Linked DNA regions of Daphnia pulex. The protein of the gene in region 1 interacts with the protein of each later gene in a pairwise test. Links are inferred from orthologs where the notes say so. Each region holds a gene or a part of one and is shown on either strand. Other genes may lie near its edges.

Evidence for each region.
Region 2: the proteins of teneurin-m-like (region 1) and filamin-A-like interact in binary tests that used the Drosophila melanogaster proteins (3 or more experiments, as listed by UniProt). The link is inferred for Daphnia pulex from reciprocal best matches to the Drosophila melanogaster genes Ten-m and cher.

The regions. Positions count from the first base shown.
Region 1 is NC_060019.1:8,397,091-8,412,226, reverse strand, and holds the start of teneurin-m-like, read left to right. Parts: upstream 1-5,299; 5' UTR 5,300-5,823; intron 5,824-15,136. UniProt on the Drosophila melanogaster protein: Involved in neural development, regulating the establishment of proper connectivity within the nervous system. Acts as a homophilic and heterophilic synaptic cell adhesion molecule that drives synapse assembly.
Region 2 is NC_060020.1:2,403,495-2,418,588, reverse strand, and holds the start of filamin-A-like, read left to right. Parts: upstream 1-6,501; 5' UTR 6,502-6,702; intron 6,703-7,208; exon of another isoform or gene 7,209-7,490; intron 7,491-8,693; 5' UTR 8,694-8,860; coding exon 8,861-9,323; intron 9,324-15,094. Other genes in the region: sarcolemmal membrane-associated protein-like, read left to right, coding at 45-182, 250-397, 465-531, 598-679, 781-948, 1,018-1,160, 1,226-1,460, 1,521-1,742 and 7 more. UniProt on the Drosophila melanogaster protein: Involved in the germline ring canal formation. May tether actin microfilament within the ovarian ring canal to the cell membrane. Contributes to actin microfilaments organization.

The DNA.
Region 1 (15,136 bases):
GCAGTATAGACTCGGTTGTCATTTGCATCTATATTGCCTGTTTGCCGGGGGATGAGTCGTTGCGTGAGAGAGGCTCTTCGTTGCCCCTCTCTCTCACCTGCATCGATATATTCTCTTTGCATGAAGCGTGGAACCTTCCACCTTGATGGGCTCGCTCTCTCAAGTTCCATCAACTCGATGGGCCTATTTGAACCTATTGACTCTTTTTCTCCCTATATTGTATATTTTTCCATTTTCTCAGGAAAATTGGAAGTAAGGAAAAGTGGAAACGAGTCCTGCCACTCCATTACCCACACAAAAGACATTGACTTTCATCAAAATGAGAGTCGGCCCTCAAATCGATTGCCAATGACTTTTTTCTCTCCGAAAGAGATAAATCTTGTTTGATTCTTTCCACCGAATATAATCAAAGAAATCAGGTTTTTTTTTTTTTGGTTTGTTCACCCGGCGTTATTCACTGTGTACACACACAAATCCAATGGCTCTAATGTAACCAACCGCAAAGAAGCAAAACTGGGAGAGAAACCCGCATTTCCTAATGCTCCTTTCATTTCTGATGGACTTGAACCATTCCTCAACGTCGGAAAGCACTTACAAATTGTTTGGGATCCTTTTTTCTTTCCATCCTGCGTTTGTGTTTGTGTGGGAGTCCTATACTTTGATGTGTGTATATATTTAACACTTTGAAAGTGTCTTTCTCTGTGTAGGAAGTACTTTATCGTAGGTAGTGTCTGCTGCTGGGCTGCTGTACTAGTACCTAGTGAATATATATATATCGCAAAAACAACTCGAACCGCCAACGTAACACGGTAAAATCTCTGGGGATTTGATGGACTTTTTGGGTTTTTTTTGCTTCGGTCGAAAGGTACGATCAATATGGTTGCCAACTTTAATATGATAGGAACTCTCTATATAAATATACACGTACGCTATAGACAATGCTGTGATACTTGTATATTTATATAGCTAAAGAGATTTGAAGTTGACCGTGATTGGATTCATCACTGACCGGGAGCTTAGAGCTAGGCACAGAGTCCATCCCTCCTCCCCTCTCACATGTCATATGTTATCATTTGGAATACAGTCCGAGCGGATTTTCTATCCCTCCCCCTCTCTTTTACACTATTGCGGACGACGAATGGTCATCGTTATTTATCGGTTTGATTACAAACGGCCGAGGATGATTCCACCCCTCACCCCTCCAGGCCACATCAACTCGAATGTTTCTAAACTCTAACGTTAACTCGAACCGTTTGATTGCAGTGAATTTTTGAACGGGGCTCCCTTTTTTCTTCTCCCTTGCCGATGATGGCTAATGCGATTGATCCAAATCGTGTTACACACCAGGGAGAGATCAGGTCTCCAAGTTGACTCAACGCCTATCGGCTGAATCAACAGACGGAGAAGCTGTCGGGAGTTTCTTCTTTCCTCCTATGTTTGTTGTGCCCCCCCCCCCCTTCTATAACCTTTTATCTTGTTCCCTGCGCTGTTGTACTACAATATTGGACGCGTCAATGTTTTGTTTGAACAAGGCCCAGAATTCAGCCGGGGGTTCGTCGTCGTTCAAATGATTCCTGCAAATATTCGGCATATAAGAGGGACATCATGGCCAAGTTTGACAAAACTTGAAGGGCAAGGGGCGGATTGGATCGTTTCGTATTCTTGTCCTGATGGTCGTCGATTCTATCTGGAACTCTGCAAGGAGAGACTTGTACCAACTCTCCATACATTTACACAGACTCCCCCTAGCTCCTTTTTTTTGGTTCCGTCTCGTGACTGTAGGCAGAACGGTTGATTGTCGACGGCAGACAGGACAGTTGGGGTCCGTCACAGTTGTATCTATCAGATCCAGGAGCCATGCAAATGGGCGACTTGGGCGATGTTCTCAATCCTGGCCAACTTCATAATTAGATTTTTGGTGGTGGAATAGAACAGCCAAGTCTCCACTCCGCTCCGCGCGCGGTAGTTCCGGCAGACCTGGCAGCAGCAATCAACCGCTCTTACTATCTGGTCCTCATCATCGACACAAAAAGATGGCCCCTCCATTCTTCTCTCTCTTTTTTAATTTAAAAATAAAACTTGAAACAGCGGTTCATGCTATCCAAGCGATGAACGCACGATACTGGCCACTAGCGTCGCTGTTGCGCGTTCTTGTGTGTGTCTACGACTTGACCATCTGCTCTTGTTAGCAACTTGTTTACTTCCCACTCTATTCCATTCCCCCCCCCCTACCCGGGTATACATAATGCGATAGATGGCATTATAGCCTCCTCTTTGCAGGATACATATCGACCCCTTTTGTATTTTTGGTTGCCATACACAAGCGAATGGCTTTTCTTTCGCTGTGGGGTTCTCCCCTCCCTTTCCACCCAGTTGGGCTTCTTGGATAACTTTGAATGTCTCCAACCACCTAGAAAAATTATATTGGTCTGCCCTCCCCCCCACACAACGTGATGATGTAACGACAGAATCATCATCTCGGTAGGAGTAGACCATTTCTATTATTGTTACCTGCCCGCGGTGAATGCTGGGCGGTTGACAAAAGCGGTCCGCCGTGATTTATTCCGAGCCGTTGATATTGATTGCGCATTGATCCCGGCAACGGCGGGCGACATCCCGGGGATCAAGAAGCGAGATTTTGATGGGAGGAGGGTGGAAAGGATAGAGCTATAAGAACAAACGAGATTATACCGACGGAAAGAGAAAGAAATCCGCTGCTGCTGGCCTGATCGACCGCACGGGACGATTTGTTTAATACCGATCCGGGAGTCGGGGACCAACAACAGCTGGTGTGTGTGTGTGTGTGGTATCGGCGATTTGTGTACAAGATTGCGTTCACCATTTATAGACTGGGAATATGCTAATACGGGAAACTATCACGATTTTACGTCGAGAGTCCTGAGACATTGAACCGGGAGGGAAAGAAACAAATGAACAAGTTGTCGGATGATTAGATTTTTTCTGAGAATGTCAGCATCAGGAGCATTCTTAATAAGGAGGGAAGGCATTCTTCTTTCTTGCACCACGTAGGTTTCCGGGTTCCTTATAATATGAAGGAGAAATACTCGACGACTCTGCCATTTCAACAACAGCCCAAGCCTTTTGTCTTTTCTTCATTCTTCTTCTTCTTCTTCGGGGGCTGAAGAAAAAGAAGAATGCGACGAATATCTATTTCTGTCTATCGCGTAGAGGCTAAATGAATTGAGATTGCGTCGTGATGAAGAAGAGTCAGAGAATCAAGGTACCCAGCCCACGATAGTCTCTGCTAGTATTATATGGAGAAGAGTGCGGATCGATATCTCATTCTGAACCTCTTTTTCTATTTTCCTTGTCTTCTTTCCTTGTGTTTTCTTCTTTTTATCAGCGCGGGTAGGAGGGAGAAAAAATCCTCCTCACCCCTCTCCGATTGGACGTATCCAATCCGGATCGGATGGATCTGTAACTCTGTAAGATGAAAGAAAAGAGAAGTCGGCGACTTGTCGACCGAGGGAAAGAAAAAGACGGAAAACAGATGACAAAGCAGCAGCAGCATGCCCAAAGATAAAAAAATATAAAAAGCTTCGCGAACACAATACTGTGCACACAATTCCATGTGTGTGTGTGTGTGTGTATAAATCACGTTTGTATCTCCCTCTATTCGACTAATCTTTTGGGAAGGATCACACACAGAAAAAAGTAAAACCTTTTCCCATCTAGTTGAAATGTTTTTGTCGAGTCAACTGGCCGCCTTGAATTCGATTTTTGCCCAGTGGGGGGATCGTAGGGTCCAAATCCTTACGCAACCTATTTTGTGGAAAGCTTATACAGTCCCCCTTTTCTCGAAGCTGTTGAATCGAGACTGTTGAATCGCTATATATAGTCAAAAAGGATCCATGCTTGGATATTATGTTGCTGGACGCAAACAAGGCCAATTTCCGCCGACCAATCATCACAGGGAGGCCTTGGAGCTACAACGCCTTTTAATATTAGGAATGGATGGGGGGGTTGTTGTTGTTGTTTGGTGAGAATCGATCCGTCGTCGAATAGATACACAAGATTGAGGACCGCGACCCCGCCATCATTCGATATAGCCTTTCTGATTGAAAGGAGATGAAGCGCGTCGATTCTTTTGTTTTTTGTAGGGGGGTCTCTCCTTCATTGCAGACACTTTTGATGCAATTCTCCATCGACGACCGAAAAAAAGGGGGGGAAGAAAAACTCTAATCGATTATCGATCGAATTTGTTCTCTGAAATTGTTTCGAAAGTTTTAAAAACACCAGTGAGAAATTTTCCTTCTCTCTTGTTCTCACACGCAGGGCGTTGTTGCTTATAATACGGAGGGAGCCAAAAGTATAGCGAAGGGATCTATTATATATCCGGCTGACGCGCCGAGTCGGTGTATATGTTAGCGAAAGGGAAACAATAACAAAACGGGTGAAGAAGACGAACAAGACGCGTGTTTTCAACAGGATATAAAAAAAAAAGCGGCGCCGTCGACCCAATCACGCGTTCCTTCTCCCCCCACCCCCCACTGGAAGCCTGCTACTCCTCACTCTAATTCGCAATTTCCGTCGCTTTTTTTTCTCCCTTCTTCTTTTTACACCAGACGAGACGCCCCCACATCAACTCCCTCCTCTCCGCTCAGACTGATTTACTAGACGTTCTTTTTGCGTACCGCCCCCGGTGTATAAATCCAGGATTCATACCCGTTTTCCTTCCGCACCGCCAGAGTCTCTAGAAATGAATGTCACGAGTGAAAGCTGATGACATCATCACCTGATGTATCATCATCAACTTGGATTTGATTTGGGGAAAAAAACTTGGCTTATTGTATTCAACGCGCGAAATCTGATCCTGGTGATTCTTTATCACTCGACTTTTTTTTCGTAAATATCGTCGACGGGATTGTATTACGCACAAGACGGTGGCTTTGAGAAAACGAGCTTTGGCGTACACGCTAGATGTGTATGGGGGTAAAGGAGATTGCGTACGCGATCAAGCGCGACCGTTCAATTTGTCATCTTTTTTTTTGAAGATTCCGCGGGTTTTACTTGTGTGTGAATTGGGTTTGAGTGGCTCCCCTGTAACAGACGGACGACCTTTGAAAAGCTGCGAAAGGGTTTCGATTTTTCTTTTTCAAACATGGAAAAAAGATCCAATGTGTGTGTACACACACAGACACTATATACTATTACTACTATGACTACTATGTGTGTACGAGTGAGGAACACATACGAGTCTTGGGAGCTTCTTTTCGGCGCTTCGCCTTGCGAGAGAGGTTCCTCCTTCTATTGAAAATCAGCCCAAGGGCCAGAACGAGGGTTCAGTCGGCTTTAGCCTCTGTCAGAGTCGACACTAGCGCGTTCCCGCGTTCGCACTTTGAAGGGTTTTTTTCTCTTCTTCTTCTTGCTTCCTTTTATTGTACTGTGCCGTTTGCCATCCTCGCGGCTGTCATCAGGTGTGTTTGGTAAAAAAAAAGGGGGAACAAGTCGAGAAGCCGTCAAAAATCACTTTATTCTTGTAACTTTGTGTGTGTGTGTCTGCTAGACAGTGAAGACATCGGACAACGGGTGGAAAATAAAAGTTATTTTGTGTGTTTATCGAGCGGGAGTCACGCCGTCATTTCGTGTAGACCAGCAGCGACGAGTTGTTTGCCAACTAATATCATCACCGGACGTGTCATTCTTCTTCTTCCCGTTTGAATTTGAGTGATTTGATTGTTTGGAAAAGGGACAGCCAACAAATAAGTGAAGATAAAAACAATTGACAGTCCTCGAGAAAAAACAACAAAAAAGTTGTGGGTCGTCACGTCGGCCAGCGACGACGGATGGGATGATGTCTTGGTAAGTTGTTGTATAGTCGATGGAATTCCAGGCTCGCCCGTCATCCGGTTTTTTTGCGCGTGTAAAAAAGGGGGGAGAAAAAATGAAGAGTTTTAATCAGTGCGAGGACGGATGCGATCCGTGAAATGAGACGTTGATTAAGTCGATCCTTGCTCGAGCTATTTGGAATATGCCACAAGTTTGGCTGCTGTTGCCAGAGGGGCCTGCTGTGAGGAGGAGGTGGTGACTGGCCGGCCGAGAGTTTATCGCTGATAGCAGCAACACGAACAGAGCAGCTGTTCCTTTTGATTTCATTGGCCCGAGTCATCCGTCCGGACTGTTGACCTCTTGACCGTGTGGGGGGGGGCTCCTTCCCTCTCTGTCTAATATTAACTGTATCACATGCACCACAGTAGCCATCGATGTGTTTATTATACAGAACGTTATTGATATTATGTATAGCCGACGCTGTGCTAGATTCTCTGTTGACATTTATCTCGATTCTCGGTTATCGCCCCGTTTCCTCCGTTTTCAACCATCAAAACAGCGAAAAATTTCGATCGTAACGGATGCTCATGGGAGGAATTGTTATGACCTGATTATGTCACAATTGACTTGATTTATCTTCCCATTGAAAAACATTCGAGTTGATTGTAATAATAGCGAGTCAGCATCACAATTCGATTTGAAGCTGGGCCAAGATTTTCAGAGGCGACTAATCAGAAATGTCTTTTTGGAAAAAATTTTCCTCTTTTTGTTGTTGTTATTGTTATTACGGAGGCAGAAAAGTTAAGCCAAAGTTGGATTCTTGTTTTGACATCCCCCCTCTATATACCCGTCGTATCGCACGACACCGAAACAAACTTTTCCTTTTTCCTATTTTGTTACACGGGGGCTTCATTTGAGCTCCTTCAATGACACCGAACCTCCTCTCGCACTGAAAAGTTATGACGTCAGGTATAGCCGGGCCGCGGTGGGCGTCTCCTGCTGCGGGATTCCTGTCCCGAAACGGAAAAAAAAAACAACATCAGGAGCGATCGTCGGCCGCAGCTGCAGCGGAAACAAGACGAAAAAGAAGAAGAAAAAAATAGGGAAAAATAGAAAGGAATGCATGTTCCAGCTGGGTTAGAAAGGAGACGAGCCATCTCTTATATACAGGATAGTCTAGTATAGGTTGGATGTCGAGAAACAAATAAATAAAACATTGGGAAGAGCGCGCGTCCGGGGGATCCGGGTTTTTTTTTCGGTACATTGAAAAGGCAAGATCCTGTTGCAGAGATGCAGGGTTCCCTCTTTTTGTGTCTGTTTGTTCAACTTGATTTTCCCGCTACTTTTGACTTATCTACGTGCGCAGTTCATTTCCTATTTTTCTTTCATCTTTTCCCCTTGATTTTTTCCTTATTTGAATATTGATATCCGCCGTAAAAAGTCTCGTATTCAGAGAGTGGCGATGCTCATTAAAAATCTAACCGACAGCCAGAAGTTTGTTGCACACTCCCTTTTTTTCCCGAAACAAAAAATAATTCACTCATTCCGGAAATTTCAATTAAAATAAACACAAGCGTATACCGTAGTACACCCCCCCCCCCCCCACTGCTCTTTTTGTATGAAGGGGGGTAGGATCGTGTCAAAGAATAAAATTTGGGGATCATCATCATCATCTCTTGAATGTGATCCTTTCTCTCTGCGCCATATCCCCTGTTCAATTCCCGCTCATGTTGATGATGAATAATCGATTGAGACAGTGAGAGACAGACAGTCGTTGTATTCCCATCGGTTGCCACACACACACACTCGATAAGTCCTCCCACCACAGAGGCAACGTCGGGGAAAAAAGGGGGAAAGAAAAAAAGACATCTTTCCTCGTCAGACGTTGTCATCATCATCATCATAGGATTCAGTCGCATCTCTCTCGGATCGATGTCTAATTACCAGTCGACGTTCATGGCGGAGAACATTTGCGGATGAGGGAGAGCTAGAACCTATTCTCTTTCTCTCATATCCCCGGGAGAGAGAGAGAGAGAGAGAGAGAGAGAGTCAGTCGAATGTGTACAACAAGAGGAGCAGATATATTTATATAGAAAGAAAAGAAACGCGAGGAAGGATCGCTAGGTTGATCCGTTGATTCCATCATCATCATCATCGTCGTGGGCTAGAGAGAGAAGAAGGAAGACGATTTCTCCACCACCACCGAAAGGATCGTCCATCTAAACAGATTCCTATTAGCTCGGCTGATGACAGAATCGATCTCGTAGAGTAGAGAAAGCTCTTCCCTTAATTCCACCTCTTTTCTCATCTTCTGCCTACCCCCTTCACTGGGGAGGGGGCCAAAAGAAATCGTTTGCTTAGCTCCGCCAGGTGTCGTTGCTCCGCACGATAGAATAAATAATAACTAGACTAGGCACAGAGGAATTGAAAAACAACTGTTCGTGTAATCTCTTTTGTTTATTTACCTTTTTTCGTGCGGTAAACAAAAAAAGGGGGATGCTGCTACGTGGAGACCACGCAGGTATATATTCTAGTGCAGATGACGGTTGTTGTAGTCAGCTCTGTACTATGTCTTGCAGCTGCCCTGTCTGTTTTGGGGCGGTTACTATGGGTCTTCTCCCATCGGGACCGTTCGGGACAGGCAACACACGGCGGAATATTTAACCAAGTAGAAGTCGATTCGAAAGGACAGGATGAGTGCGCGACAGATTGGAGGAATATAAGTAGAAAAAGAAAAGAAAAGAAGTCAAGCGGAATCGATAAAAAAGAACGAACGATGGCCCGCCTGTCACACAGGTTCTCTCTCTTCTTATGTTTTCTTCCCCCCAAAAAAACCCCGTGTGTGTGCCATTTGCCTTGGGTACCATATAGAGTTGACTCGGCTAGTAGTAGTCAGTCCCGTGCAATTTGATTTTACACGTCACTTGCTTCGCTCCGGCGATGTGTCCTCGTGAATAAAGGAGACACACATAAAAATATATACAAATACATACCGGACAAACCCTCTACTACGAATGAAAGGGGAAGAAGAAAAAAAGCTACAACCACGAAATTTCTGCATCCGCTCTTTTCCAGTGCGCTGAAAGGCGGTGGAAATGTTATATAATCAAATTTTCACGAAGTCAAAGAAGAAGAAAAAAAGGAGATGGCATTTCCCTTTTTTTTCGTGAACCAACTCATTAATGCCTGCCATATTGCACACACGACGACGTGAAATCTTTTTCCCTCTCTTCTTGTTGCTTGAACTGTGTGTCGTTCCATCATATGGCCCCCACCTCCCGACTGGCAATTAGTCATGCGGTCGTCGGTTCCGGTATTATAATGAACGAGGGGCTATGATGGAAGAGCAGAGTGTATTTATATGGAGTGGGGGGGATATCATAATATCAAATGAGCACGTCTGTGGGTTCCTTCCTCCGACCACCCACACCCCACCACCGTCACCACTCGACGCTCAAACAAATTAAAATTTTCTCTTGTCGGGAAATATTTATTGTTTTCCTATTTCTTTGTCAACGTTCAAATTTCCCGAAATGTTATTTTTCTGCGAAAATATTTCTGTTTTTTCAAAAATATTTTATCTACTTTTTGGTTGTTGTACCTGCTGGGTGTTCCGTCGCAGTAGCTGCTGTGGCCCTTTTTTTTTATTTATTTAATGGTATTTATAATCCCGGATAAGATTTTTTTATTATTTACTGCATCTCTCCTCTTGTGTGTTTCTTTTTCGGCTCCTTTTCGGCACGTCAAAGTAAATTTTTATTTTTACGAGATAAAAAAATAAGCGGCGAAAGTTTGAGAATGAAAATATTTCAACACAAAGGAGAAACGCAAGGAAAAAGGTTTTAGTTGTTGTCGGTGTCTATGTTAACTTTGAGTGAACGCTCGTTTCTTACACCTGTCTGGTTTTGATTTGATTAGAAAAAAAAATGTGTTGAGACGTGGAATTCAAAAAGAGACTTTTTTTTCTCGAAAATTGTTTGTGTGTATTGTCTAAGGCTCTTCTTCGTCCCTCCTTTTAGTAGTCGGCCAAGAAAAACTGTTTTAATAGCCCCTCGTATGGGGCTTCAAATGCTTTTTCTTCGCAAAGGTGTTAAGTCCCCATAGGTCTCTTGTATCTTCTTCATGGTCTTAGAAGAAGAACTGAAGACGAAAAGGGGAATGATTAGCTTAACTTGGTAACACACGCGAGACAAATAGGATTAAATAAGGGAGAAGAAAAAAAAAAGAAACATTGTACAACCCTTTTAAAATAGTAGCCTAGAGCTAAGACTCTTTGCGTGCGCCAACTTTGTTACCTTGATTGTACACCCTATATTTATACTCCCGAAGAAAGAAAAATCACTTTTGATTAAATGGAAATTTCAATTTTCTTGATCAAATTTTAATGGCTTGTTGTCTGTGGGACTTTGGGACCTCAAATTTTTTTTCTTTTCAATGATTTTTCAAGAGTCTCTTTTAGTTTTCAACCTACTCCCTAATAATATTCTTCATACCAGATTGGTTGAAAAGGTCTAGTTGATCTGGGGTCGCGTTGGGGCCTATTTGTCTCTCTCCCCTCTCACAGTCGTCCACCAATTAAGGAGAGAAGAACTTGATTAACTTTTTCGTGTGTGCCGTTCGTCTGTGTGTGTGTGTGTGGGGGGGGGGGATATATTTTTTTCACAGGAAAGAGGGGAGTTGTGTGTCTGGACGGGCGCGAAAATCAATCGATCCCGCCAAAGAGAAAGAATCCTTCTAACTGGAGACGATTTTGGTTAATTATTGGGGATGAAGCTCTTGCCCAGATTCGCTATTATCTTGTAGTGATTCCACAAAGATGATGATGATAAAAGTCCTTGCAGTTTTTAGAAACTGGACGATCAATCGACTGGTTTAAAAAAAAAGGGAGAGAAGAAAAAAAAGAAGAAGGGAGCGTCGTCGGGACTGAAAGACGTGATCACCATTGAAATTGCGTCTTCTTCGTTGGTCAGAGAAGACGCGACACATTTCCCTTAATCTCGTCACGTCGGCTTCATGGACCCGACAATGGTGCATGCTGGACTAGAGGACCCTAGTTGGAATAAGAAGAGGGGGAAAGAAGAGGCTGTGCTGAATCGAATGCAATCAGCCGTTTGGCGGCTTCCTCCGGAGAAAGGGCTGTACAGGAGGGGGGATGGATGGATGGATGTTTTTTTTCTTCTTTTATTTCTTCCCTCCGTTCTGCCCAGGTTTCAACAGCAAGCCAAACACAGTGTATAGCCCAGGGAAAGTCGGCTTTATACTAAAGTGACTTTCAAAATAATGAAATGCGAATTGTGTGATCGATTTATAGTTTAAGGTACATCCGTCGTTCCGCTCCCGTTTTTTTTTTCTCTTTTTCTTTTTCCCGCCGACAACTGCCGAGCCATCAGTTTCTATTGGACATGCAAAATAAAGAAATGTAAGCAAGTTGTGTGTAGGCGTCGTGTTGTCGTGTCCTCCTCGTTATACAACTTTTGGGAATCTTCTTCTTATTCTTGTCAATTGAATTTCGTCGGCTCCTTTTTCAATTGTATCCTGCAGGCCAGAATTTGGTATTCACGTATAGTATAGACGTGTACGAGCCATACACTCGTATAATATGTGTATCCATTCGTCTCTCTCTCTCTCTATTCGCTTGATTTGTGTGCATTGTACGACGACTCGTACGTCCATCCAGTTTGAGTGTTTGGAAGGAATAGAAAGGCGACTGGATGAGGAGGGGGGGGGGCCTGGTGTTCCACTCTTGTCAGCACTGAATCTATTTGAATCGATCAAGTTTGTATAGGAGAGACGTGGGTCTCGGAAAAGGCGCCCATTCGGCATATCTGCCTACGCCGACTCGGATGTGTGTGTATGTGTGTGTATGGAACGTCTAGTATTGAGACAGATAGCCGTGCTGGAAATTTCGAATCCACCCAAGTTCCATTCCATAATATAATACAGAGATGTGGAGGCATCACAAGAGGACGTCGAAATTGAATGTATAAGAAGAGTCTGAGGCGCATGGGCTGAAACCAACTCGATTTGCCATGGAACTGCGGACCCTGTTTCAACATTTAAATACAACGTAGATAGGAAAGAAAGCCATCCTACAACACGGATATATATAGATGGACAAACTCAATAATAAATTTATTTCCAGTCGACGATTTCATGTTGCGTTCCACCACTAGAGCAGCGCGGACGGACTAAACTTTGATGACAAAGAAAATTGAAATCCCTCGGACCAGGAATAAACAAGTCTGTGACTTTTTCCTTTCTGACCGAGAAAAGTTTTTACACGTTGAAAGATTTATCAATGTTGGGATAGTTTTGCGCCAACTTTTTCCCCCTCCGTTCGATAGAGCATCATAAACCGCACACAGCATTCAATCAGTGCGTTGTAGAGAGAAGGTTACCTTGTTAAGGGCGGCCGTCAGTTCTCCTATAATGAGCTGGTGGAAGATGATGAAGCAGCGTATAGTCGCCTATATAACCATACAGAGCGGCTGATGTTTATCTTTTGGGTTCATTCTATCATATTGCATTGACGCCACGAGCACACACACATGTGTGCTCGGGCTGTACCCCTTTTCTTTTCTGGATGTGATTAAAAGAAGAAGAAGAGGAACAGTGGCAGCAGTTCAGTGGTGGTAGTGTCTGGTTATTATTATCTGCTTCTTCTTCTTCTTGGGCCATCAGGAATGAAAGGCGCCACAGAGGATCTAGCAAAAAGGGGTGGAGCTTTGGTTGCCAATCATATCTTTGATGAATGGGAATTGTTGGTGCAGCCCCGAGCAACAAAAGAAAGTCATCACAGTCAACAACTCTACTGTAGTACTGGCATTACGTCTCTATACTACACACTTCTTCTTTTTTTGATGTAGTATATTCCATTCCGTACTGAGAGTCGTTCCTTTGTTCTCGACTCTTGCCAGGATATGTTATTACATCAAGATATTACTATTTTTAAAGACTAAGACTACACCAGAATAATCTGAATGGAAGTTGATGTCGGCTGAATAATCGATGATCAGTAGGCCGGATCGATCGATTTCCCCCCTTTTATTTTTTACTCTCAAAATAAAAGAAAAGTGGTGCTCGCGATTCTTTCCGAGTCGAATGCTGTTATAAATGTAAGTGTCGAGCCCTGTGTATATGTAGCGAAGCCGGCGGGAAAAGGGGCGAGAAGAAGAAGAAGCGCTATATGGAAAGTGTCGACAAGAAAATGTCGACTGTCCTTTCTCCTCCGTTTCTTCTTCTTCTTCTTCTTCGTTTTTGATCGTATACAGTCAAAAGTGCTCGAGTGGTGGTGTTGTTGTCTTCTTGAAAGCTCTCTCTTGTTCTCTCCCCCCCTCCAACTCACGAACGCAACGATCTACTAGTCCTCCTCCCACACGGACGGTATATTCCCGGGCGTCCGTTAGACTCCATCGTACGCGTCGCATTAAAAACATGGGAGGAGGAACCCCCGTTGTACGTGCTGGCACAGCGCCAATCTTTTCCCCCTTTTTTTCTACTTTTCGAAATCTTTTTTTTTTTTTCCGAAATAAATACAAATAGTAACTGCTGTATAAATAATAGTAAAAATATTTACGAAGCGGGTAATAGCGTCATCATCATATCACCTTCTCAAGTTTGAGGGGAATTTCTTTCACTGTAACGCGGGGACGAGGGGAGAGAGAGAGAGAGAAACTGCTGACGTCGCCATTGATCAATGTCACTCGCCTGTCGTTTTTGATAATGGACCGGGTGCGGCAGCAGCAGCAGCAGCAGCAACCCACATATATCCACTCTTCTTCTCTCCTAGCGCAAAGTTTTGTAATAAAAGGCGCTGACATGCAGATTGCAGCTCGAGGAATACATCAAGACGAAGAAGAAGAGAGAATCAAATCTTATTTACTAACGCAGTTTTGCCCGTATGTGGGTTGTTAGTGTATCCATGTTATTCATTTGATGACGGAATAGGCCCTTTTTTTTCTTCCGGAGAAGAAGAAAAAAACAACCTTATTTGGACATTGTTGTTTACCGGCGTGTAAAGCTAAGAAGTGCGAGGGCATAAGGTACCATTAGACGCAAAACTGTGGTGTTTGGTTGAATGGACTTGAATGTTTACGCAACTGAACGGGAATAACGTCATTGGAAAAGACCATGGGTAAAAAAGTTGACAACGAGAAACCCATCCTCAGTCAGTTTTAACTTGGGAGAGATTATTTCTTTTTTTTTTTCAGGAGAATGTATTCCATCATCTAGTTAGTTTCCCCCTCAACGCTTCTTTTCATTGGAAGATTCTTTTGAATCCAATTTGTTTGTGTTTATCATTTCGCGGGTGAAATGTTGTTTGCCACTTTTTCTATTTTCAATCGACTTGATCTAATCTCATTCAGATCGCATTCAGCTGCTGCGGTGGATCATGGACATGAAAAGTCGGATGGTTTATTATTATCTGAACTTTTTTGGCTTTAGCCCAACGATAGATGACGAATGAATTTTCCGCGGTACAAACAAATAATTAAAAATCCAATATTGGGGCACCGCGCCTTGTTGTCTGCACCGCACACACACACACACACACACACAGCAAATGAGCACGATGAATATTAATGGGCCGCTTTTATTGTATACTGTGCCTTCAAATATTGTATGAAATGTAAGGGAGAGAGTGAGGAGGGCTGGTGTTTTTGCAGAATAACGAGATGGAAACGGGGGGGGGGCGATGACTAAGGCCGGCTGGGGGGGGTTCCATTATGTCACGCAAGCCGACGCCAGCGACGCCATCAGGAACGCGTCAAGAGAGACGCGCCACTGAGCTAAGAAGAAAAGGTGTTGGTTATGGAGTAGAGGGGGGGGGGCGATGTCGTACTCGTCGTCGCTTTTGTTCAGGGGTTCCACGTGCCAGTCACAAGCGAGCAGAAAAGAAATGAAAAAGAAGGTTGCCTATCCTTGTGTATATTAAACGAACGGGCAAAGTCGGCCGGTTGGCAATGAATGATCATCCGATGATGTCTGGACTGTCACTGACGTTCTTCGCTTCATTAAACTCCCTCTCTACTTCTTCCACCTTCCATTTTTTTTCTTCCTGTTCTGTGTGTTATGGCATAAGCTTTGAAAAAAGCTTAAAGAGAGGAAAACTGGACGTCGGCTGACTGCTGCCACATTAGTGTTATAAAGGGCCCAGCTGTAATAATAACATCAAGAAGACGGCTGATTTCTTAGGCGAGGCACGTGCCACCGCTCTACGAGAGAGGGGGACAATTCAAATGGATTTACCAGTCGAGAGTCCACACAACAGAAAAGAAGAGGGAAGAATTCAATCAGCAGTTAATAAAAATGGAGTTTAAGGAGGGACTAATCGTGTCACCCTCCC
Region 2 (15,094 bases), on another chromosome or scaffold:
AAGCATATTTTGATCAAAGTAATAAGATATGTTATGGTTCGCAGGAGAGAAATCTCAGCCTGGAAAGTGCCATGAAAGTTGGGCGCTCAGTGGCAAGAGTGAAGCCTGCTGTCAACAATGCCATATTTGATTGTAAAGTGTTATCTAGGAACCATGCTTTGCTATGGTACAAAGATGGAAAGGTATTTTTAGAGTGTTGTATTCTATATAAGGTGCGAAAAGCATATAAATGTTTAATTTCATTTTTAGTTTTATTTACAAGACACCAAAAGCAGTAATGGCACATTTGTGAACAATCAGAGATTAAGTAAAGGATCTGAAGAATCAGCACCAAGAGAAGTGTGCTCTGGTGATATAGTACAGTTTGGAGTAGATGTTATGGAAAATTCAAGAAAAGGTATTTACCTTGAATTTAACATATTCCTAGAATGGTGCATAATCCATAATTCTTTGGAATGCTATAGTTACTCATGGTTGTATTGTAGCCACTGTAAAGCTATATTTACCTGATGGCAAAGAAGCCAAAGCCAGGTAAATTTAAAAAAACAATTTTCAACGATAGCTTGAATCTGATGAACTGTGTGTATTTTTTTTAAGTCCTTCAACTGGAATTCAAGAAGAGGAAGACAGTTGTGAACTTGGCAAACAAGATCTCTATCAGCTTAATCAATGGATACAGGTAAGGAATCTTATAAATGTTTTTTCACTATTTGTTTTATTTTATTATTTTTACTTTTTCATCCATGTTATTCATTCATGTTTATGTTTGTTAATATCTAGGAAGCAGTAATCAGAGAACAAGTATTAGAAACGAAATTAGGATCGTTGCAGCGTATTGTGAGCGCTACTCGTGAAGCAGCTGAAATGGGCTGGACGGCGCTGATGGAGGAAGATAGACTATTGACTCGAATAGAATCTCTCGAAAATCAGCTGGTCGTCTCTTCTAAAGTACGTATTTTTTATTGGATCATGGAAAAATGTTGTATTTATTTACTTTATCGCATATATTTTGTAAAGAACTTTCACGAAGACAAACTACGTGAAGAGATCCGTAAGTTGTATGACGAGAAAAACATTTATCAGGATGTTTCGAAAGAATCATTACGGAAAGTGCTCACAGAGAAAATGGAAACTTTGAAGAAGTTACAGGAAACTGAACGGTGAATACCACTTCATTGTGATTAATTAACTTCATACATTAAATCATTGTGCGTTTTCTTGACAGATCATTGAGTAACGCTGAAGACGAACGCGACAACATGAAAGAATTGAACGATAAACTGAATGAACAAATACTAGAATTAGCCGAGAAATTCGAAAAAGAATCGGAAGAGTTACAGTCGTGCAAGAAAAAGTTACAAGAAGCCGACAACCAACAACTTCGTCATGAGCAGGAGATGCAATCAAGGCAAGAAGCCCTTCGAGAAGCTCAAGAAAAAGAAACGATTCTTCTAGCTCAGGTAGATTTTTCATTCATTTCATTTCAAGTTTTTATTTGAAAGTCGTTATCTGTAAAACAGGTGGAAAGTAGACAAGCGGAAATCGATTTCACCAAAGAGCAGCTCGCCAATCTCAGACTACGTCTCGATTCAATGAAAGCAACAGAAGAATTGAAGAAGGATGAGAACGAAATAAGTGGGGATGAAGTGGAAGATAAGAGCAACGTCAAAGAAAACCAGACGGAAACATTGAGACAAAGGGTGATCCAGCTCGAGTCGCAACTTAAAACTTCCCATGCAAAGGTAAATCAATATCACTGAAACATCTTTAATGAATACTCACAGGTTTTTTGTTTTTCCTTAGAATCTAAATGGAGACTTTGTCCCAGATCCTATTGGATACAAGTCAAAAGAAGTGGATCGCCTACAAGGTATGAGTTATGTGTTACTTTATCTTGAAAGAATGTAGAATTACTTAAGAGAATCTAGAATCTTTAGAGAAATTTTCAATGTGGTATTGGACTTCTGGTTGTTTATTGAGCCTTTTTGTTTGGCTTCATCATTACTTTTTGTGATTCCTTGTGTTATAATGTCTTGCCCTTTCTCTGACTCGGTTTTTTTCTCTTTTCCGCCCAAAAAAAATTAATCCATTAAACCCCCTAGTGAGCGTAACATTGCTGCCAATCATCGCTTCCGACTTGTTCGGATACTTGACGTTTTTTTGTTAATTGATGTGTGTAGGTTCATGCACGTGGGATTGTTATCTTTACCGCAATCAGTTGGCATGTTGTAGTTTAATTTTACAAGGTGAATTGTACTAACTCTTTCTTGGCTCTACTCCAGCTTTTCATTGCGTTTTTTGCTGCTTGCCCATTTTGTTTTTTTCTCTTTCTTTGGCTGACATGGAACATTTGCTGTCTCTTTTTTCTACTCTGCTAAATTGATCGCGTCGAGCTTTACATTAGCTGTTCGCTACGAAAATGGATGATGGCTAAGTTATTCCTTTGTTTGGATTGGTGCAGAGCTTTTGGAAGAAACGCGCGCCAAGTGCCGTGTACTTGAGTCAGAAGTGGAGAGACGGCAGCTAGAGGCACAAGATGGTTGGTCTACAGCCGCACATCTACAGCAATACTTTAGAAACCTGCACAACGTTCTCAAAGGCTCATCTGAGCAGGAAGAGGAATCCGCTGATGAACCATCTGAGCTCGCTGAGCTCGTCCGTTCCAGTATCGTTTCACTCAATAATGAGTACCAAGAACTTCGAGAAGCTAATGCGAAGAATAAGGATCTTATTTCGCTATTGACCTGTAAGCAAGGAGTTTTTTTATCACTTTTTTATGCCAAATACTTCATTTGCAACAACGATATTTCAGTACGACTAAGTAATTACGAAAAGGAAGAGAAAGCCAATCGTGTCAGTGAAACCACCGCTCATAGAGGCTCAACCTCAGAATTGGAATATCTCAGGGACGAAGTTGCTATCCTCACCATCCAGTTGAAAGAGTAACAAGAAAACATTTTCTATCCATAATTAATTTTCTATTTAACCTTTTTTATTTATTTATTTTTAGGATGGAAGTGTCGAGGATAGAGCAAATTGAGGAACGCCAGAAATGGCAACAAGCCTACCAGTCGCTAGCTCTCAGCGTAGAGAATCGGGACAGTGGAGTGGTTAGCGGATTTAGCAGTCCAATCAGTAATCCACCGAGTTCCCGTGATCCTGAAATGAGAGATTCTGGCATCCGGGAACTTAATTCCGGAGAAGATGCTAATTCGGAAGAATATGTTACCATGCAGGTAAAACGAAATTTTATTTGAAAATTTCTTGAGGCACAGTTTTTAATTTATGTTTTTTTGTTTTTGTTATTTTAAGCAATTGTCTGAGGTACGAAACGAACTCGAAGCTTTACGGCGCCACTACGATAATGTACAAACGGAAAAGAAGGAGCTAGAAGAAGAATTCTCCCAGTTAAAGGACAACTACTCGTTACTATCTTCTCAGTCAAAAACGGTAAGTCCAGTCAGTCTCCGTTTCTTCCAAATCTTCTTTCACTGTTTTATGCACAATTTTAATTTGTAAGTTTTCTTCATTATTCTTTGGTTCGTTGATAATTCTATCCATCCATTCTTCTTTTTTCTTTTCTGTTCTCTTTATTTTTCTTTTCTTTTGAATGCCGAATGCATTTTCTAGGTTGGCCGCTGGATGTATGTAGTCCCGTTGGCCGTCCTTGTCTTGGCGGTCCTCATAGCTTTCAGGCCATCGGATTGAAATAACGATAAATTAAAAGACAGAAAAGGGGAAGCACCAATTCTATTTCATCCTTTGTCTTCCTTTAGAAAACTAAATGTGTGTGCCTTCTAAAAGACATATTCTTTTTGTCAGCTGAGAGTCCGTCAACTCTTGTTTTTTCCTCACGTGAAACTGAACGAAGAGGGAATAAGAAAAGGATTTGAACACAAAACAAATAAGAAGCTATTTGAATTCTTCGATAGTCTGCTTGATTTTGGATTCTCCTTTTCTCTCTCGCTTAGGTTCTGTTTTCTCACATTTTTTTTCTTCAGCTGTATTTGTTACCTTCTTATTATTGGCTTTCTTTTCTCTCGTTCGTCGACTTGTGTTTATGTGCCTTCAAAATTTATTTTAGAGATGAATTTATTGTTTTTGTTAGTTCAATATCCGTGGCCAAAAAACAACGCAAACAAAAACAACAAAACATTTTTCGCTCTGTATGTTTGCTTCGATTTACTTTATTCTTTAACTTTCATTTTTTTTTCTCGTCTTAAACTAACACCGCATTGACGTAAGAAATTTATGCTAACGGTGGACATTAGAGAACAAAAAAAAGCTGATCCATCGATTATTTTCCTTTCTCTTTTTCTCTGTTTGTTTGTTTTTTTTTGTTTTTTTTTTTGCTGTGCCTCTTGTTTTTTTTTCGTGTTTGTCTGCGCGTTTTCTGTAGGCGACGGCGTTGTGTCTCATGCCCTTGCTCGTATTGTTCATCTCGTTCTTCCTGGCCTTCTACCGCTTCTTCTCGCGGCTGACGGCTACATTCGAGCCCTGAGAGATTTTGCCGGACAACACGGAAGAAAAATAAGGAGAGAGACAATAACAGCAACAACAAAAACATCATCATCATCATCAATTGTTTTTTTCCTGTTCTTCTACCGATTGTAAGCTTTTTTTTTTTCAATTACTTCTATCTACGCAAATGGCGGGATATGCAGATAATATCCCTTTTTTCGTGTTTTCTTTTGAAACATATTTGCTAGCGACAGCAGCTTTTTAATTTTACCAAGTGCCATCAATATGACAAAAGAGTGATGTCATTAACTAGTGTGTGTTTTCCGTCAACGCTACAGAAAATGGCTTAGTCTCCTTTCTGTGTGTGTATGTAAAACGTACAACGTCGGTGGGGAGGGGGAGAGTCGAATCCTCTTTCCTCCACCTTCTAACAGGACCTGTGCAGAGTTATTTTTTCCTTTGCTATCTCTCTCTCTCTCCATGATTTTCTACTGTCACACAAAACACACACCCCTCCGAAGAATGTTGTTCCTCTTTGTTTTTCAAATGCTTAGTTTTACGGCATAGTTGGCGTGCAATAATAGGCTCCCCTCAATGATTTTTCTTCCTTTTTTTTTTTTTCTTTTGCTGTCCGTCCTACCTCTGTCTATCCACCAGCTCATTATCGTCGACATCTTTCTCTTGTGTGTGAGGGAAAGTTTAATATTTTTCTCACCAGCCAACGACATTATTTTCAGCTTCGCGCGTCTTCGACTTGAAAGAGTAAGAGTGGATCACATAATATTGATTTGATGGGTCATTGATTTACTCGTTCTGCTCCCCAGTTTTGTGTCACGTTTCCTCCTTAAGGTCTTTGGCGGATAACCGTCCGGCGAGATGGATAACCATCGCTGGGAGGCCTCGGATCTTAAGGAGTTTATGAAAAATTTCAACCAACAACAAACATGTTCTATGTTTTGTAGTCTAGTCCTCTTCTACGGATATTGTACACACTCCCCATTTTCTCTCTTTACTATCCCACCTGCCCCTGCCCCGTGTCCTGTTATTTAACTCGCCCCATTAAACATCAGCAACAAAAAAAAAAAGAAAGAAGAGAAAATGAAAAGAAACTAACAAGACAATACAATACTTTGTTTTTTTCTTTCTTGGTCTGGATCTATGACCGAGTATTGATGCTCATCGCGCTGCGGAACCGAAAGATTATCTGAAGACAATCGTATCGGTTCTGTTTTCGTGAAGCGGATCGGAACGACTTTTATGTACATTTTCTTCTCTCATGCAAGTAAGTATAGATGATATGCTGTTTCTTCGTGTTGTAGTTCAAGGTGGCAGCGAAAGCGAGTTGCGGTTATATCCCCGACGTTTTCGTAACTTTCCACTCGACACTGAAGAGTATAGCGCACAGCACGATTCGTATGAAATTCCGTTATTTTATTATTCATCGTTTTTTGTTACGATCCAAGATTTTCTTTGCCTTCCTTTTTGGTCAAACTTGATGTGGAATGATGACCAGCCGAGAGCCAGCTGGACAATCGTGCACGGCTGGAAATGAAATCCCGCCGTGCGCTCGGCTATGCTGTTGCCGTTGGTTCTGTGTGTGTGTGTGTGTGTGGTGCGTCGTTGAGCGTGTTGAGTGTAAGTACTTTTTTCACCTATTTGAACATCGAGCGCGGGCAAAAAGAGATTTTTTCCCTCGACGCGTCTATATAAGGATCGACCGTTCCGGCGGAGGAGAGAGGAGAACGCGGGGAACAAAAAAAAAAAAAGAATAACGCACGCGTGCAGAGTGAGACGTTGAGTGTCTGTGTAGAATAGAAGCGTAGCTTTTCTTTGATGGAAAAAAAAAGAAGGAAATCCTTTTTTGAAAAAGTCGAGTTCCAACATCGTAAATAATGTATTATTGTTTCAGAAAGGGGAGAAGAAAAGGTGCGGAGAGAGTACATCATCGTGGTCCGCTGAACCGAACGCTGAAAATGCCTTACAGCCTTCGGGACGGCCAGCGATGGAGGCCGTCGTCGTCTATCGCTGTTGTCGCAGTCGATTGTGAGGAGCGGGTGAGACGTAACGGAACAACTGGAAGCGGCCGCGACATTTTTGTCTGTCGGTGTAGTTGGATTAAAGTTGTGCGTGTGCGGAGGAGGGCAATTTCGAACGACGTGTTCAGACGTCGAATTCCCTGGCCCATTTAAGGTCTTTCCGAATCGGAGTTAACGATTTTGTCAACAGTTCTCAGTTTTTAAGGTATGTGTCTTTTTTTTTTTCTCTTTTATTTGGTTGCTCTGCACGTCATAGCGATATACGTTTCGAACCGTGAATGAATCATCCCCGTATAAGTAGACTGTGGGGTCACCTCCCCTCGGCTCCTTTTTATTTTTCTCTTCATCTTTTTTGTTTTCCCAACTGCCTCCTATGTGCTGTACCACTTCCTAACCTCTGCCGTTCTTTTCGGGGGCTGTTGTCAGTCGGTGTGGGAGGAATGTCTCTCTTCACTCCTACCGACGACGACGACCCCCCCCCCCTCCTTCTACCGCCTCCTCCTCCTCCACCCGCGCACGCTATGGCGAAGAATTTCTGAAACGGTGATGGCGTGGGCTATTTTTAAAAAAATCCGTCGTAGAGACGAACGGGATCTATGCAAGAGAGTAGTCCGGAGCGGCTACATTATAAGAGAAACGACGGCGCAGCCCTCCCACCACCCCGAAAAACCTACAAACCAAAAAACCTTTCGCTCTCTCTTCTGTCTACAACAGACGTCGACACAGACACACGCCACTTTTTCTCGCATTCGCTCTCATCGTGCCGTGCAGTGAGGGTAAACGCTTGCCATATTAGCCGTTTTGCGTCTGTGTTGGTCCAGTTGGTCCAGAGAGTTGCAGCACCCCTGCCCCTCTCGAGAGCATCGGGCCGTTCCCGGTCGGTAAAAGCCCAGAACAAACGGAGATTGATCGGGGGAGAAAAAGAAAAACAAAAAAAACAATCGTATCGGATATTCTTAGCAAACCAACAAAGGATTCGTCACCGTCAATTCCGTAAGAATCTTTTAACATTGTTTTTTTTGTTCACCTTCCTTTCTGTTGTGTTTAAAAAACAGACAAATTCTTCCATTTCGTTATTGGATCCTCGTTTGTTTGCGTCGTCGTCAATGGAATGACGACGACGAGGGCGCTTAGTTACACGGATGACAAGACGTGACAAGTTAGTGGAATCCAATCAACTTTTGTGCTGTTTGTTGATACGGTCCTGGCCGATCCTCGTACCGGAATCGGTGTCGCTTGGCGCCGCCAGCGCCATCTATGGGCACGCATCTCGTATGCACGTCAGCAGAGGAATGAAGATGAACATGTCGGCAGAAGGCGGCTTTAGGGCTCATTCCGCAATGTTGGGCAATCAATTCGTCAGAGTCCTTTTATGGAATGAAAAGCGAAGGAAAAATGAAGACAAGTTGTTGTAATAATGAACGAAGAAAAGAAGATTGGCAACAAAAGCCGAAATCTCGGCAATATCCTGCCGACTGACCCAAATCTGATAGAGTGCTGACGTACAAACCACCTACTACTGTTTTACACTTTTTTCCCCCCTTTTTGTAAACGCATTCGCCAAATGAAATTGCCGGTAAAATAACATCATTAAGCAGCCCAGATACGAGCGCTTAATTGCTGTCTTGGGGAAGAATAATAACTCGCTGTAGGAAATAACTTAACCTACTACTCCTTTGGGCTTTCAGAAACGAATCAAATTAATCATTTCTTATTTTGGTATGTACCAGTTGACAGGTAATTGCTTTACCGCAGGTGGTGATTGGATTACAACATTGCGTTCGTTTGTTATACCCCATTCATTTTCTGTGCTGTAGTTTCTGTCGTCGGCAATGACGAATTTTTTTTAAATTTAGCGGCGAGCTTATAAGTGATCCAGCTGTTCTCATTCCATCCTTAAAGCGGAGGGGGGAAAGAAACCAAACGGAAAAATATGAAAGAGAGGGGGGGGGGGGATAAACGTGCCACCACCAAACCACGCCCGTCAATCTGTTCCTATTTTCTTTTGTTTCCATTCCAACGAAATGAATCATTTATCCCAAATAGATATTTCTCTTTTCTAAAAGCTAGAAACTAATTTCCTGACATTTTTTTTCGTCCGTTTGTTCAAGGTTTCCTTTGATTTCTTCCGCTATTAGGTAATATTGCGTCATGTTGCACAATTAATGGTCTTTTTTTGAATTCGATTGAAATTAGACTCAACAGGTGGCGATTGAATCGCCAAAGGAGCGAAGCCGAGAGACAAGCGTGATTGGACCGAACCCATCGGTCGGTGTGTTCGTGTGTGTGCGACTCTGGTCTTGTGGCCTCTATCTGAATAGCCCGGCGGGCGGGAGCAAAGCGGCAGCTACAGGCTTTACACCATGAGTCAACAGGGAGGAGATGTCAGTTTGGCCCGCGACAGCCCGGCCGAGCAGGTGGTCTCGTCCGTCATTAGCCAGTTACAACAGCAGCATCAGCAGCAGCAGCAGCAACTTCAACAGCAAGAAGGAGCAGGCAATCAACAACAGAGCAGCGCCGAAGACGATCAAGTCATGGTGGCAACGGAACGAGATCTGGCCGAGGATGCCCAGTGGAAGCGCATCCAGCAAAACACATTTACACGATGGGCCAACGAGCACCTGAAAACCGTCGACAAATTCATTGGCAGTTTGGAGACGGACCTGTCGGACGGACTCAAACTGATCGCCCTCGTCGAAGTCTTGTCCGGCAAGAAATTGCCCAAGCACACCAAGAAACCCACCTTCCGTTCGCAGAAGCTCGAGAACGTTTCCGTGGCTCTGAAATTCCTGGAGCATGACGAAGGCATCCGCATCGTCAATATTGGTGAGTCCCATTTTATTTTTATTTTTAAATTTTATTCCGTAATTTTTCTGTGGATTTTCTGTTCGTCCCACTTTCTTTTCCGCTCGTTTCCAACTGACCATTTGCTTGGTATTGTTGGCTATTTTTTGTTACGAGTCATCGCTCGTTCCGTACATTAGCCTCTTCTTGTTCTGTTTCCCCTCAAATCAATTTGTCGGGCATCCGCCGTACTCAATGTCACACATCCGAGAGAGTCAGAGAATAGTTAGAGAGAACCAGAGAAACGGAACATTTCTCTGACCCTCTGGGATGGAAGAGACGAAACAAAAAAAAAAGAGTCGAGGTGAAATCGTGACTGAGTATATAACCGAGGGAAACATCTGCCAAACTTCACGCGCTCCCATCGTTTGCGTTATGTGTTATTTCAACCACGTCTTCTTCTTCTTCTTCTTCTTCTTCTTCTTGGTTCTTCTCCTTCCAGCATTTTATTACGGCAGGGTTGGCAGCGTTTGTTTTTTGGTTTCCTCGGTGCCGTTTTTCTTTGCACTGTTTATGGTCTAAAGTCAACACGTGCACGCTGTAGAGCAGCAACAACACGACTAAAAAAGAACCCCCAACTATGATTTCTTATCAGGGATATCACCTATATTTTTTTTTATAGTACGAACATGTTATCTGCTTAGCTTGTGAACTGGAATCTTTGGGCTTGACGGGAGGGTTTTGATCTGGTAAAAAGTCCGTGGACCGGTCGGCGGGTTTTGCCAGTTTCTAACCCGCCCTTTTTTGTGTGATTGTTTGAACGGTCGACGTAATACCAACGGAATGTCCGTGCTGTTGACTTTGTATAAGCGGCGGGGGTAAAGAGAAAAGAAGAGGAAAAAAAAACGGGACCATGCGAATGAAAAAAAAAATTGTTGGATGTTTAGAAGAAAGCGGACGGAAGGGATTCTGCAATACGCCCAGGCTTTTCATCAGTGAATGGATCATCGTCGCAGTCCAATCCGAACGCTGGGCAGCTTCTAAGAAGGGAGGGAGAGTCTTTGAAGCAGCTGTCTCGACCGTATCGGGAAAAATGGTGGGGGGAATAAGTCAGAAAAAGAAACCCCAGGAAAATGATTGCGTGATTTCTGGCTAGACACCGTCTACGGAATTTGGCATCGTTCTTCTCTTTTTTTGTGTGTGTAGCACACCATCGCCAGTTTTTCCAGTCATGGATGCATTGATTGGACCTCCTCGCTGGATGGTATACAATGGACCGTATCGCTCGCCTCCCGTATCAATTTGTTTTTGCTTATTCTCTTCCATCGTGCGATTGTCCAACCAAAACTCAGTGGGAGCCCAAGAAGACACGCAATAAAATACGCCGGCAACAAACCAAAAAAAAAACCTCCAGGAAATAAAACACACGCCGTTGAATATCAACAAAACCAGAAAAAGAAATAGAAAAAAAAGGGAAAGTTTCTCTCGTGTGGGATGGAACTGACGTAGACGGTCAGAGGCTGTTGGTACCGTTCCAAAGAGCCAGAAGAAGAAAAGGGTCAGTTGACGCATCGATGGTCGACTCTCTTGCTAGCTGTCAATCTGGGATTTCTTATATTGCCTTGGATTACGCGCGTCTCTTGATGTGTGAAAAACGGCCCATGTGGCATCATCAAATCCCTCCCGAGATTGTCAAACATCCATTTGCGTTCCTAGTGGTCACACTCACGCATTGGGTTGGCGTATTTTGGTTGTTTTCTATTTCTCCTTTTTTATTTTTTCGTCGAGTGGGCGTTCAATGGTGCCATTGAATTATTGCCCGGAGAGAGATTCTTTATCCTTCGCTTCTTCTTCTTCTTCTTCTTCGTTTGCTTCTTCTTCTTTTTCTTCTTTCTTCCTCCGTGGATACAGAAGAAAAAAAAGTAGGCGGAGTTTGACAAAGAGAAAAGAACCCTCGCTAGCTAGTGGCCATATATGGTCTCCTCATGATGTTTCCTTTTTTTATTCTCTAAATTCTCTCTTGCGTTGCCCGTCTAGTTTGTTATGGTAGACGAAGGGAGGCTGCCCTGGCCGGCATATAACCTACTTTAAGAGGGCGAGCAGCGTACACCTTTCGCTTGCGTTGCGTGCGTCCCGTTACGCACGCAACGCCACCTTTTACAGTGCGCCCGTAATAACAATAATAGGTACCGCAAGACGTAGTTGCAGCAGCAGCAGGAGCATCAGTAGAGAGGGCTGTATAATTCCATCTGCACGTAGGGGAGTCTGGATGAGAAGCTGCAAGTCAAATTATTTCAAAACGATCGCCCGTGGTCCGACAAGAACAAACAAAAAAACCTACACGAAATAGCCCCAGTTTTGTGTTTCCATGATTATGACATTGTGGTTTTTATTTTTGTGGAAAGAAAAAAAAAATGTCTTCCCTTCTTGAAAGCACAATTTATTATCACCAGTATAATATTATAACCGCAAATTCCTCTATGCGGCGTTGCGGCGGAACAGAAGGAGGTCGATTACAATCGCGAGCTCCTGGGTTATTCTCATGTGGTTCGAACTCGGTGTGCATTATACACAATAAAACATGGACAATTTTCAATTGAAGCCTGAAGGAATTTCTTTCCTTTTTTGTCTATAAAATATGACGACAAATGACTCGTAACAGATTGAATGTAATTTTTTTGTTTTGGAAAGACCCACGCGTTTCTTTGCGTGGGCTTCCATTATGGTCCGTATCCCGGACCTGCTGATCCAATGCTATTTATTTTATTTGGTTCCACAAAACGGGAGAGAAACATGTTTTTTTCGTTTGGTTGTTTTGTTTGTATTTTTCGTGTTTATTTTTTTTATATTTTTCCTGTTGGCTTTATTTCGTCTACTAATACGTATATAGTCTTCCTCCAGTTGTTGCCATTCACTTCATTGTGTTACTGGCAAACATACAGCAGGTCGGAGACTGCACGCAAGTCTTGACGGTTATCTCATTTCCTTCTTTTGTTTTCTTTACGAATTTATTGGCCTCTTCTTGCGCCTTATTGCGACGACGTTTCTCATTGAAATTGCTTAAATTTATTTGCGGCTTTTCTTCCATTTTGATTCGGGACTTTTGAGGGGGCGGTAATGCGGCCGCACCATTGACTGACTTCATTCCTTCCAGATTATTCAAATCTCGGCTGTGCATGAGAAACACGTACCACACTGCACACAAGAAGAGATTAGAAACTTTCCCTGCTGTGTTCTAAACGATGGTGCCGTGATGATTGCCTTCTTTTTTGCGTATAGTTAAACGCAACAAATCTTCGAGTCACGCCGGTGTTTTTCTTCTGCTTCTTTTGTCCTCTCTATAACCCCCTCGGCTTTTGAGAAAGAAAAAAGATCACACCATCAGTTGATTTCGTAATTCAAATGGCAAGGCACACACCAGAACGGTTAACCAAAACATATATGGTGCCGGGGATGCAGGTGAATAATATTTCGGCAAAAAAAAAAAAACAAGCGCAAGAAAACAGACGCTGGGTTAGCGCTGTTAATCGTTTTCTTCCAACTTCATCTCAAATGGCATTACTTAAAAGTGTTGTTGCAATATAAACAGAAAAAACAAGAAAACGCGGACTCTCGGTCGCCAGTCACGTTCGCCAGCAGTCTGCCATCGACCCTTTTCCCGCAGACAAGTTCATCGGAGAAAATCAACGTGCACGATTTCACTCCATTTCTCCACATATTGGGCATATAGGTGGCTGGTGGTTGCCGATGATGCCTGGGCTACTCTGGATATTGTTATTAAAAGAATTAGCTTTTTTTCTTCGCTCTCAAGTGGGCCACTAACAGGCTCGGCAGAAAGAGCGCGCGGACAGCACTGCTGATGAGTGAGCCACTGAGAGCTGCATTGAAAATGCAGTCCCTCTCTATGTGCTCCACTCCGCTTATAGGACTTTTTATTTTAAATAGCAACTAAAAAAGAAAATTACAAATTACAGTCAATATATAGGCGGGGAGAGTTGTTCCATGGCTGTTTTTGCTGACTTGTGTTTCCAGCTCCTTTTAAGGTCAACAGATTCTTTCCCGACCGACCTTATTCGATCTCTCTCGGGGCGCATGCGTGCCCGCGCTAGACGACGTCACCTGCAACTTGTTTCTTTTCTATCATTCCTTTCTTCTGATTCTTTTTTCTCGGTATTCTTATATACTCCTCCAATCATTGCCGAATGAAGAAACCCACAGATGTATAATCTGCATTTTTCGTCCTCGCTCTGTCGTCCGGCTTGGAGGTGGACCAACAAAAACCCAAACCAAACAAACAAACGAAAAAGAAAACCGGGACCCACCGCCAGAGTCTTCAGTCTCCGCCACTAACTTGATCTATTGGCTGAATGAAGATTATTATAATGGTGCGGATGAGAAATACCCTACAAGGAGTGGCTAGCTAGCTAGCTCGTTCATTCAAACATGGCGAGTAGGGTGAAAGTCTTGCGGGTAAATAAGAAATGGCTATACTTAAACAAGAGATACTGTCGACCTCTTCCCAGCTGGGACAGTGTACAATGAAATGGACCGAGGTCGCAGGCCCGCGGTTTTGTCAAATCCTTGTATTGACGTCAATGAACGATCAAGTCTTTTTCTCTCTCTCTCTCTTTCTCGGGTTGAATTGAAAAATAGTCGTAAAAACGGCAGCAGTCAGCAACAATCAACCATAACAAAACGCTTTTCCCTTTTGAGTTTCTGGTTTGTTTACAAATTCGTCGTTTTGAATAAATAATAACCGAAATTTCACTTGACCATATCGAGGAATAAGAGTCTGCAGCAGTTATGCATCATATTCTAATGCAAAGTATGTCGAAATATTTTCGATTAGGGTAATGAGATAAGAAAAAAAGAAAATAATAATAAATACCTGTCCGTATTCCTCGAATGTTTTTTTTTTTTTGTCTATTCTTCGTGATTTTGTTTGGGAGCAGATAACACCTTCCGGCTGTCGGGATTGAAATATACGTTCTGTGCGGTCCCGCCCGAACCCATTGCTCCTCTGCTTTTTAAAAAAAAAAAGAAGTAATGCCGTCGAGTTGGATTTCGCGCCCACTCAGTCTTACCTTTATTTGGAGATGGATGGATGGATGGGAGAAGACGAAGAAAAAAAAAACACAGACATTTGAATATTTAGACTTCACCGCGCTATTTTTTGTGCGTGTGTGTTGTGGTCCGTCGTTTGGCCAGTCAAACATGTCGCGCTCTTATTCCCTTTTTTTTTCCGAACATGTAAACTACTCTGTAAACGTCACGTCGAGCCACCCCTCTAGCATTGGTAACCTTAGATGGGAAAAGATCGACGCCTTTTTATTTTCCTGTTGTTGTTTTCTCCCGAAAGCCGACGGGATCGACATCATCGCCGTCATCCCGTCATCACAGGGAAAGAAAATGTTTCCTTTTACCATCCCCAGAATAAAGAGGGGGCTAGAATGCCATATTTGGTCATAGAGGACTACCCTCTATGGCAAGGCCGTCTACCGACAGACTGACGTCCAAAAGGAAAGAAGAAAAAGTCCCAACTTTTGCCTTGTATGGCCATGCCGGCGATGGCTGAGGTGACCCACTGGGTTTTGGTTCTACCTTTTTCTTTTTCTTTCCTTCATCGGAGGACAGCGACACGCAGCTTATTCGTGGATAGCTTGGAAAGCCAACGATTCCTACATAGATTATGCATAGTGTACGTCTATCACTTTTTTCCCTATGGCCGTCGTCATGACATATACACAGGGGCAAGATGGAGCCCTTGTGATATGTATATGGGTCTCTCTCCTTATTTCTATTACCCCCAAGTT